3 linked regions of the Diceros bicornis minor genome follow. The protein of the gene in region 1 binds, or shares a complex with, the protein of each later gene. Links are inferred from orthologs where the notes say so. Each region holds a gene or a part of one and is shown in the gene's direction. Other genes may lie near its edges. The genes, in order: GNAO1, ADRA2A and CHRM2.

What was found.
Region 2: the proteins of GNAO1 (region 1) and ADRA2A are in contact, whole or in part, in a cryo-EM structure (PDB 7W6P), measured with the Homo sapiens proteins. The link is inferred for Diceros bicornis minor from reciprocal best matches to the Homo sapiens genes GNAO1 and ADRA2A. Residues at the interface, in NP_066268.1 of Homo sapiens: Ile28, Lys32, Lys193, Asn194, Leu195, Asp218, Phe336, Thr340, Asp341, Ile343, Ile344, Ala345, Asn347, Leu348, Gly350, Cys351, Gly352, Leu353, Tyr354; in NP_000672.3 of Homo sapiens: Arg77, Arg146, Ser149, Ile150, Ala153, Ile154, Asn157, Leu158, Arg160, Pro162, Ile234, Ala238, Arg241, Arg383, Arg386, Phe387, Val390, Leu391, Phe444, Asn445, His446.
Region 3: the proteins of GNAO1 (region 1) and CHRM2 are in contact, whole or in part, in a cryo-EM structure (PDB 7T8X), measured with the Homo sapiens proteins. The link is inferred for Diceros bicornis minor from reciprocal best matches to the Homo sapiens genes GNAO1 and CHRM2. Residues at the interface, in NP_066268.1 of Homo sapiens: Lys24, Ile28, Ala31, Lys32, Leu195, Tyr320, Asp337, Ala338, Thr340, Asp341, Ile343, Ala345, Asn347, Leu348, Gly350, Cys351, Gly352, Leu353, Tyr354; in NP_000730.1 of Homo sapiens: Asn58, Arg121, Cys124, Val125, Pro128, Leu129, Thr130, Pro132, Val133, Lys134, Thr136, Ile209, Ser213, Lys214, Ser215, Arg216, Ile217, Arg381, Lys384, Val385, Thr388, Ile389, Cys443.

What each region holds. Positions count from the first base shown.
Region 1 is NC_080771.1:9,768,865-9,772,611, forward strand, and holds the start of GNAO1 (guanine nucleotide-binding protein G(o) subunit alpha), read left to right. Parts: upstream 1-979; 5' UTR 980-1,623; coding exon 1,624-1,741; intron 1,742-1,958; coding exon 1,959-2,001; intron 2,002-3,747. UniProt on the Homo sapiens protein: Guanine nucleotide-binding proteins (G proteins) function as transducers downstream of G protein-coupled receptors (GPCRs) in numerous signaling cascades.
Region 2 is NC_080745.1:74,812,857-74,816,603, forward strand, and holds the start of ADRA2A (alpha-2A adrenergic receptor), read left to right. Parts: upstream 1-867; 5' UTR 868-1,825; coding exon 1,826-3,208; 3' UTR 3,209-3,747. UniProt on the Homo sapiens protein: Alpha-2 adrenergic receptors mediate the catecholamine-induced inhibition of adenylate cyclase through the action of G proteins.
Region 3 is NC_080742.1:85,269,109-85,271,915, forward strand, and holds CHRM2 (muscarinic acetylcholine receptor M2), read left to right. Parts: upstream 1-810; coding exon 811-2,211; downstream 2,212-2,807. UniProt on the Homo sapiens protein: The muscarinic acetylcholine receptor mediates various cellular responses, including inhibition of adenylate cyclase, breakdown of phosphoinositides and modulation of potassium channels through the action of G proteins.

The sequences.
Region 1 (3,747 bases):
CTGTATTGAGGGAGTAAGCATTTGCTAGAAGCTCACTCGCATGAAAACCTGTCCTCCCCTCCAAAAGCTTCCCATGGTGGGAACTGTCTCCTGCGCTGATACCTATGGCCGGGAATCCTGGAGCAGAGTTCGCGATGGCAAAGGGAGGCAGGCAGAGGCTCCCAGAGAACAGGCCCTGGCTTTGTCTCATCCTGCTGTGTTCCCCTGCTCACAGCCTCCTCTCTCACATACTAGGTGCTCAATAAATGTGGGACGCAGGAAGCGAAAAATCCGAATCTGCCCCCATGCCCCAGAGGCGAATTATCGGGAACGCAGGTTTACTCTGACCCACTGTCTCCTCGCGTTTGCTGAGGACGCTCGGCCTCGGCTCTACGGCCCCAGCAGCAGGAGCACAATCAAGAAGGCGAGCTGCTGGAGCCAAGATGGAGAGGGAGCCGGAGAGCGAGAAAAGTGGCGCGGGGCGCGAGCCGGGGGACCCGCCTGACCGCCGCGCGGGCGGCGCGGCCCCGCGCTCCCATTGACAAGGAGGCCGGCGCAGCGGGCGCGCGGGGCGGGGGCGGGGGCGGGGGCGGGGAGGGGCGTCCCGGCGCGCGCCCGGCCCCAGGCCCCGCCCCCACCAGGCCCCGCGCGCGCCCACTCGGGGGAGCTGCGGGCCCGGGGAGCGCTGGAGGAGGGGAGGCCGCGCCGAGCGCGCGCCGCCGCCGGCTGACGCGGCCCGGGCGCGCGCGCCCCCTGCGCCCCCCGCCCCTCCCCGTCCCGGGGGCCCGGCGCGCGGCCCTGCTGACGTCAGCGGGCGGCTCGCGGTGCGGGGTGCGCAGAGCCGCTGGCGCACTCGCCCCCTCCCCCGCCCGGGCTGTGGCGCGCGCGCTCTCCCTTCATTTTCTTCTCCCCTCCCTCCCAGCCTCTCTCTCTCTCCCCCTCGAGCTCCCGGCTGCCCGCGGCTCCCTCGCGCCCTCCCTCTCTCTCCGGTAGGCTCCACTGAGCGATGCGAGCTCTGGGAGACAGCGACGCCGCCTCCCGCTAGAGACCTGCCCCCGGCCCGGCCCCCTGCCCAGCCCTGCCCAGCGCGCGGGGGTCGGCGAAGGCGCCGCGGACGCACCGACGGCTCAGGACCGGCGATGCACATGCACTAGCAGCACCCCCTCACTCGCTCCCTCCACACCCCGCGCCGCCGCCGCCGCCGCCTCCTCCTCCGGCAGCAGCGGCAGAAGGACCCACCCTGCCCCCCACCCCACCCTCCGCCGGCTCGGGCTGCGGCTCCTGCCTCGACTAGTATTTTATTTAGTTTGGGTCGTGCACAAGCCTCAGTGCCTGCAGCCCGCGCCTCCACGGACCGCGGGCGCCTCCTCCCTGGGCTCCGGATCCCCAGACCCCGGCCACCCTCGCCTCGACACCCCCAGAGCCGCGCCAGCTGCCGCGACTCTCCGCTGCTGGAATCTTGTTAGCGGCTGTCTTTTTGGGGGGTTCTGGTTTCCCGACATTTTTGTTTTCTGCCGAGGGGAGGATATCGTGATTTTTTTCCCCTTTGAGCCCAGGCTCTGCTCTCTGGGGGGGTGGGGGGCGCGCCGAGCCGGGGAGCAGTGCCAGCCGAGTCGTGCGGGCTGTGGCAGGGAAGGGGCCACCATGGGATGTACTCTGAGCGCAGAGGAGAGAGCCGCCCTCGAGCGGAGCAAGGCGATTGAGAAAAACCTCAAAGAGGATGGCATCAGCGCCGCCAAAGACGTGAAATTACTCCTGCTGGGTAAGGACCGGGGCTGCCACCCCTATCCCCAGACCCCGGCCCCTCCGCACCCCCTCCGCCAGCTCCCCCACCCCACTCGGGCCCGGGAAGACCTGGTCCCGAGTTGGCACCACCATGTGCCCAGGATCGCCCACCCCCTCGCATGCCTTATCCCCCTGCCCACCCCGTTCCCCTAAGCTGACACTCACCAGTTTTTCCCCCCTGTCTGTCCCAACAGGGGCTGGAGAATCAGGAAAAAGCACCATTGTGAAGCAGATGAAGTAAGTCCCTGTGCCATTGGGATTTGTACTTTTATTAAGAATAATTTTTTATCATTTGTGTTACCTTGCTCACTCTACATTGCTCTCCGGGCCCAGTTTTTAATTCGTGCACACACGCACACACACACACACGCACACACACACACACACAGACCTGGGTTTGACTCCCCTCCCCCACGCCCAACGTTGGTTCTGAGTCCTCCACCCCAACTCCCCGGGTGGGTGTTTTTTGGGGGGGGGAGGGAAGGGGAGCGCCTGTAGTTGTATGAATGACAGTGTCCGCCATATTGATCAGAACATCACACTATTGGCATGATTATGATCATTACTCTTGCTCGTGGGGTGTTTCGTGTGTATTGATGCCTGCATTTCTGTCTCTGTGTCTCTGTTTCATTCTGTCTCTATTTCTCTCTCCTCCTCCCTCCACCCCCCACCCCACATCCATAATCTCACTTCGCCCTGCTCTCCTCCTGGGGCAGTGATTTTGAACTTGGCTAAAACACGGAGGGGACCCAGCCCTAGACTGGGGTGGATGATCAAGTGTCTGCTGTTCATGGATTTGGTGCTGAATTGGAGACTGTGGTTTCTGCCCCCTCTCCCCCCAAAAAGAGGACGAGGGTTAGGGGAGGGGGCGTGTGGTAGGGAAGGGGGTGGGGGTTTCCCAGCTTATGTGACTGGCACAGCTGTATCCAAGGCAGAGGTGGAAGGGGGACACTGGCTGTGAGGCTGAATGCCCGCCCCTTGCTGGCCGCCCTTCCTCCCCCACCCTTCCCAGCGTTCGCTCTCCTGACACTGGCAGTTTTCTTTCACTCTGTGGCCTTTATCAATGTATTTATTTACACTCTGCATAGGCCGTGTTCCATGTAATCTACCCCCAATGCGGATTTCAGGCCCCGCTTGCCGCCGCCCCCTTCTGCCTTAGATATCAGTTTCCCCTCCTAATTAACTGGGGGTGGATTTGAGTGATGGTTGAAAATTAAAACAAAATGGGATATTTCTTCCCTTCCACACTTTCTCGATAAGGAGCCTCGCCCCTCCTTCCCACTCTCGGGCTCGCTTCTGGCCCCATGCACTCCGCTCGGCAGTTCCTGGTGAGCCCTCAGGCAGCTTTGCTGGGGGAGGGGGTGGCCGGCGGGGAAGGGGTGCGCGCCCGCAGGGCCTCCTGGCCCTGCTGCTTCCGTTGGCCTGTCGGTTCGGGACGGAGGAGTTCGTTAAGACCGTTTAGCGAGGATTCCACGTCGCTTTGCTGTGACACCTTCGTGCACACACAGCTCCTAATTAGAGGTTGCTGTGCAGTAAACAAAAATGATTATTTTTCAACTTGACAGCATAGGCGAAGTAATTGCATCCCGTAGGAAAACAATGGAAAATAAAAACCCCTTTCGTGGAAAGGTGGGTGGGAGACGAAGCATGCTTTTGCTTTCAGAACAAGATGCAAAAAATCTTGCATGTGTAACAGGCATGACAAGCGGGTTCTAGGCGGCGCCATGATGGTAGGGAGTAGCGACTCGGAGACAATTTCCCCCGTCTGCTTGACGTGCTCTTATTTTTGTTCGAGAGCTCCCCGGGGCTTTCTTTGCAGAGGCCCCCTCGGCTCGCCGCACCCCTCTGAGCCACGGGTAATTTGGCCTGGGGCTTCTCTGGAGCTTGTGCAACCCAAATGGACGGGGAGGCGGGGCCTGGGGAATTGCTCTTTGCAACAAGGTGCATGTTGCATCTGCCTGGAACCCTTGCAGGTCGGTAAAT
Region 2 (3,747 bases), on another chromosome or scaffold:
TCTAGATTTTCTTTTCTTGAGCTTGGATCCAAACTTGTCCTGAGATAGGAGAAGGCGCTGTAGGCAAAGGACTACAGGGGCGGGAGAAGGCACCCGGCGCCGGCGGGGCTTCCCAGCCGTGACGAGGAGCGGCCAGCAGGTGTCAGTGCGCCCTCGCTCTGTCACTGCGCGCGGCCTCCGCCTCCAGGACCCCTCCCCACCGCGGTCTAAGGGGGCGCGGTCCAGACCCCGGGCCACTCGCGTCTCGCAGACAGCTCTGTGGCTGGGACGATACGTAGGCCACCTCTCCCCTAAGCGGGTCTCTGAAATCTGGCCGGGCCCGCTCCCCCGGGGGCGGTTCCCATTCCGCCCTAGGGGGTTCCATCCAAACCTGTGCCTTCCTCTCTCACCACGACCCACTTCACCCCGGCCGCGAGGAGCACTTGCGGACGAGGGCGGGCCGGCCCAGGGCGGGGCTGTTCCGGATACGACCCGTACCGGTGGCTGCTTCTCCTGATTCGGGCCAGGGCTTTCCGACACCCTTTCCTCCCAGGACTCAGCTCGATGGGGGCACTCTCGGGTGCCCACTGCTTTCTGCTGGCCCGTCCCGGAGCTGCTCGGCCAATTCCCAGCAGGGACCGCTCCCCATTCCCCGGGCACGCTCTTTAAACCTCTCGCTCAAGGTACCCGCCTCTCCAAAGGGCTCGTCGCGCCAAGGGGGCAGCGCTCCCCTGGGTCTGGCGCGGGGCGCGGGCGCTAGACCGGTGGAGGGGAGGCGCAAGGGGCGGGGGAGGGTCTGTTTCCCACGTGGGGGCTGACGCCCGCTGCTCGGCAACGCCGGCTTGATCCTGGGGCTATAAAACCAGTTCACGGTGAGCACGGCGGAGCAGCAGCGGCTCTGGCTTCGGTGCAGACACCCAGCAGCCGGCGCGCTGCCGCCCGGCCACCCCCAGCACCTTCTCCCCCTAGCCCTGCGCTCCTGCCCCAACTCACGCTGCCCTCGGACCCCGGCTGTCCGGTCGCGCGCAGTGCCCGCAGCTCGCCGGGCCGACGCCCAGGAGACTCCCTGCTTCGGCCGCGGCTCCTGGAGGGCCGATCGCCCACCCGGCCCGGCCCTCCTGAGGACGGGGGCGCCTTCATGCGGCCCCCACCCCCCTCACCCCGCCGCCGCCGCCGCCCCCGAGCTCCGCGCGCTGCGCCCCAGCCCCAGCAGGGCACGCAACTTTGGAAGTCCCGCGGCGCTCTGAGAGGTGGCAGAGTCCGCACCCCGGCCCCAGCCCGGGCTCCGCCGGCCCCGCCGCGTCTGGGGGAAGCGAGAGAGTCGGTAATCGCTTCGGGGATGTAAGGAGACAGACATAGGACCCCAAGCCCGCATCAGCACCCCTCGGCTGCCTCCCGGGGTGGGGGCGGGCCCCGCACACGGTAAGACCTCTTGCTTTCGCTCAGGCTCGAGAGTCGAGAGAGATATATATATTTAATATCCCGTCATCCTTTCAAGTCATCAGGCCACCGATGACTTTTGTTCTCCCTTCTTGAAGAATAAATCTCTTTCCCCATCTGCTCGATCTACTCTCTCCCGTCGCTCAGAAATAAAACTTGGCTGTATTTAGGAGCTGGGAGCGAGAAGGCGCCCACCCCGAGCGCCCGAAGCGTGGGTCGGGCGCGGTTCGCTGGAGCCGGGCCCATGGGCCGCTAGCGGTCCCCCAGCTCGGGCCCGACCTTCCTGCGGCCCCCTCCCCATGTGAGCCTTGGCGGGGCGAGCGGGGCGCGGGAGGAAGAGGAAGACCCACGGCGCTGGGCCGGAAGGCAGCTGGCAGCAGGCCCAGGCCAGCGGGCACCCGCGTTCATGTTCCGCCAGGAGCAGCCGCTGGCCGAGGGCAGCTTCGCGCCCATGGGCTCCCTGCAGCCGGACGCGGGCAACGCGAGCTGGAACGGGACCGAGGCGCCGGGGGGCGGCGCCCGGGCCACCCCCTACTCCTTGCAGGTGACGCTGACGCTGGTATGCCTGGCCGGCCTGCTCATGCTGCTCACCGTGTTCGGCAACGTGCTCGTCATCATCGCCGTGTTCACAAGCCGCGCGCTCAAGGCGCCCCAGAACCTCTTCCTCGTGTCTCTGGCCTCGGCCGACATCCTGGTGGCCACGCTCGTCATCCCTTTCTCGTTGGCCAACGAGGTCATGGGCTACTGGTACTTTGGCAAGGTGTGGTGTGAGATCTACCTGGCCCTCGATGTGCTCTTCTGCACATCGTCCATCGTGCACCTGTGCGCCATCAGCCTGGATCGCTACTGGTCCATCACGCAGGCCATCGAGTACAACCTGAAGCGCACGCCACGCCGCATCAAGGCCATCATCATCACCGTGTGGGTCATCTCGGCCGTCATCTCCTTCCCGCCGCTCATCTCCATCGAGAAGAAGGGCGGCGGCAGCGGCCAGCAGCCGGCCGAGCCGCACTGCAAGATCAACGACCAGAAGTGGTATGTCATCTCGTCGTGCATCGGCTCCTTCTTCGCGCCCTGCCTCATCATGATCCTGGTCTACGTGCGCATCTACCAGATCGCCAAGCGCCGCACCCGCGTGCCGCCCAGCCGGCGGGGCCCGGATGCGGGCGCCGCGCCGCCGGGGGGCGCCGAGCGCAGGCCCAACGGCCTGGGTCCGGAGCGCGGCATGGGCCCCGTGGGCGCCGAGGTCGAGCCGCTGCCCGCCCAGCTTAACGGTGCCCCCGGGGAGCCCGCGCCGGCAGGGCCGCGCGACACCGACGCGCTGGACCTGGAGGAGAGCTCGTCGTCTGAGCACGCCGAGCGGCCCCCCGGGCCTCGCAGGTCCGAGCGCGGCCCCCGGGCCAAGGGCAAAGCCCGGGTGACCCAGGTGAAGCCCGGGGACAGCCTGCCGCGGCGCGGGCCGGGGGCGCCGGCGGCCGGTCCCGGGGAGGAGCGCGGCGGGGGCGCCAAGGCGTCGCGCTGGCGCGGGCGGCAGAACCGCGAGAAGCGCTTCACGTTCGTGCTGGCCGTGGTCATCGGCGTGTTCGTGGTGTGCTGGTTCCCCTTCTTCTTCACCTACACGCTCACGGCCGTCGGCTGCTCCGTGCCGCGCACGCTCTTCAAGTTCTTCTTCTGGTTCGGCTACTGCAACAGCTCGCTGAACCCGGTCATCTACACCATCTTCAACCACGACTTCCGCCGCGCCTTCAAGAAGATCCTCTGCCGCGGGGACAGGAAGCGGATCGTGTGAGCGCGGAGCCCGCGCCGCGCGAACAGACTCGTGCAGATCGCAGGCAGCTGGGATCCAGGGGCGCGTCTACGCAGGCCTAGTACTCTGAAACCAGGGTCCTGCCTACTCTGCGTTTCCTGGCCCGGGAGGTTGCTCTGCGGCTTCCGGGCATCTGCTCTTCCCTACCAGGGAAAAGTACTGGCTGGGAGGGCCACACGCCCCCCAACTGTTGTTAGGGCTGCTTCTGACTGGGAGCCATCTCTCTAGGTTCTTGGGCCGCCCCTAATCAGTGTTGTTTCCTAAAGATATTTTCACGTCCCAGTCCAACTCTGACAGCAGTTCAGAGCAAGCGCTGGACCCCAGAGCGTACGGCTCACAAAGGGTTAATGGACGGGGGTTACCCAGGCCCCGCTGATTGCTGTCTCCCTCCCACCAACTCTATTTTTAAACAAACGCTCAGGGCCGTCCTGCCCCCCCTCCCATCCCCCACTGTAAATATACACTATTTTTGATAGTGCACACAGGAGGGTCCCCAGTGTCGCTTTGCTTTTGATGTCAGA
Region 3 (2,807 bases), on another chromosome or scaffold:
TTGGCAGTGATTTGAAAAATAAAACATTCATAAAATTTACATAATCACATCAATATGTATTTAATAAGTAACTTCTTTTGCAGGATATGGAATATTGGAAGTGCTAACCATGTGACACTTACTACAAGCATAAAACAGAGATCAGAGAAAAATAATAGTCATTGGGGGGAGTGTATTGGCTAATAAAGTATTATTATCTTATCTTTATTATTATCATTTTCAGTATCATTATGGAAAACACTTAGAGCTACCAGGTGGAAAGGTGCTATTGACTATAAAAGTCACACATTCAATATAATAAGTTTTATATTTTCTTTCATAATTTTATCTTCCCATTGGTTTATTAATTTTTATGTCTGTACCAGAACCTCTTGATGCTCAGAAAATTTCCTTTATAATTTTGGTTTATTTAGTTCAATTCACCAATATTATACTCAGTTTAACTGATTGATGACAGATAGATAGATAGATAGATAGATAGATAGATAGATAGACAGACAGACAGATATATTCATGTCTAGGTATGGACACATTCAGAATGTTATCAGACTTCAAATATATTGCTGGCCTGAAAGGATCTTTTGAATCCTCCATTTGAAGCTTTTGCCTTTTATGTGGAGAACTGGGGCAGGTAGGCACAGTAAACATGTAGGGGAAGGAAGGAAGATTTTGGAGAAAAAATGTAGTTCAAAAGGAAAAAATCTGATACATTTTAAAGCAATGTTTCTATTATATTTGTTAATTTTCTTCTATTTCCTTGCAGGTTTAAATGTGTATTTGTCTTCTTGGCTCCCGATTAGAGAACACAAAATGAATAACTCAACAAACTCCTCTAACAATGGCCTGGCTCTGACCAGTCCTTATAAGACATTTGAAGTGGTGTTTATTGTCCTTGTGGCTGGATCCCTCAGTTTGGTGACCATTATTGGGAACATCCTGGTCATGGTCTCCATTAAAGTCAACCGCCACCTCCAGACCGTCAACAATTACTTTTTGTTCAGCTTGGCCTGTGCTGACCTCATCATTGGTGTTTTCTCCATGAACTTGTATACCCTCTACACTGTGATTGGCTACTGGCCTTTGGGACCTGTGGTGTGTGACCTTTGGCTAGCCCTGGACTATGTGGTCAGCAATGCCTCAGTGATGAATCTGCTCATCATCAGCTTTGACAGGTACTTCTGTGTCACGAAACCGCTCACCTACCCAGTCAAGCGGACCACGAAAATGGCAGGTATGATGATTGCAGCTGCCTGGGTCCTCTCCTTCATCCTCTGGGCTCCGGCCATTCTCTTCTGGCAGTTCATTGTAGGGGTGAGAACTGTGGAGGATGGGGAATGCTACATTCAGTTTTTTTCCAACGCTGCTGTCACTTTTGGTACAGCCATTGCAGCCTTCTATTTGCCTGTGATCATCATGACTGTGTTATACTGGCATATATCCCGAGCCAGCAAGAGCAGGATAAAGAAAGACAAGAAGGAGCCTGTGGCCAACCAACATCCAGTTTCTCCAAGTCTGATACAAGGAAGGATAGTGAAGCCAAACAACAACAACATGCCCGGCAGTGATGATGCCCTGGAGCACAACAAAATCCAGAATGGCAAAGCCCCCAGAGATGCTGTGACTGAAAACTGTGTCCAGGGGGAGGAGAAAGAGAGCTCCAATGATTCCACCTCAGTCAGTGCTGTCGCCTCTAATATGAGAGATGATGAAATAACCCAGGATGAAAACACAGTTTCCACTTCCTTGGGCCATTCCAAAGATGAGAACTCTAAGCAAACATGCATCAAAATTGTCACCAAGACCCAAAAAGGTGACTCATGTACCCCAACTAATACCACCGTGGAGCTAGTTGGTTCTTCAGGTCAAAATGGAGATGAAAAACAAAACATCGTAGCTCGAAAGATTGTGAAAATGACTAAGCAGCCTGCAAAAAGGAAGCCTCCTCCTTCCCGGGAAAAGAAAGTGACCAGGACGATCTTGGCTATTCTGTTGGCTTTCATCATCACTTGGGCCCCATACAATGTCATGGTGCTCATTAACACCTTCTGTGCACCTTGCATCCCCAACACAGTGTGGACAATTGGTTATTGGCTCTGTTACATCAACAGCACTATCAACCCCGCGTGTTATGCACTTTGTAATGCCACCTTCAAGAAGACCTTTAAACACCTTCTCATGTGTCATTACAAGAACATAGGCGCTACAAGGTAAAACATCCTTGTAAAGATGGAAGGTGATCAAGGGGAGCTTGGGAAGAAGAAAAGGGATAAAAGAGCTCCTAGTTTTAAAATCTCTGCCATTGCACTTTATAGTCTTATTATGGAATGTGCAATTAAGGAGCCCAACAGTGACACTCTTACGGTGCCTATGCTCCAGTTTGAGAAACTTGCACCTTATAAACCCTGTCAGTTTAGGAGCAATGAGGCCGTGAAAGAGATGTGTTGGACTTGTGGATTTAAGGAACGGTCTACGCTTTCTCGTACGCTCTTGAAGAAGGGCTTTTGAATCTACAATTTTATCTCTGCACAATAAGATTAATAACCTCGCTCCATTTTTTTCATTTTTTTTATTTCCCGTGTGTCCATATGAGGATGAAATGCCACAATTACAAGTTAACATGCACACTTAAACAGAAAGAAATAGACATACACTGAGGAAGTGAAGGAAGAAAATCAAAAAAGGATGTGGAAATGGTCTCCAGAGTGTTAAGCATATATTATTCTTTTGTTATGATTTTATTTGGAAAAATGCAACATAATAAATGCTTATTTTTTTACCTTCCCCTTTTCCCACTATAGAAAGAAAGA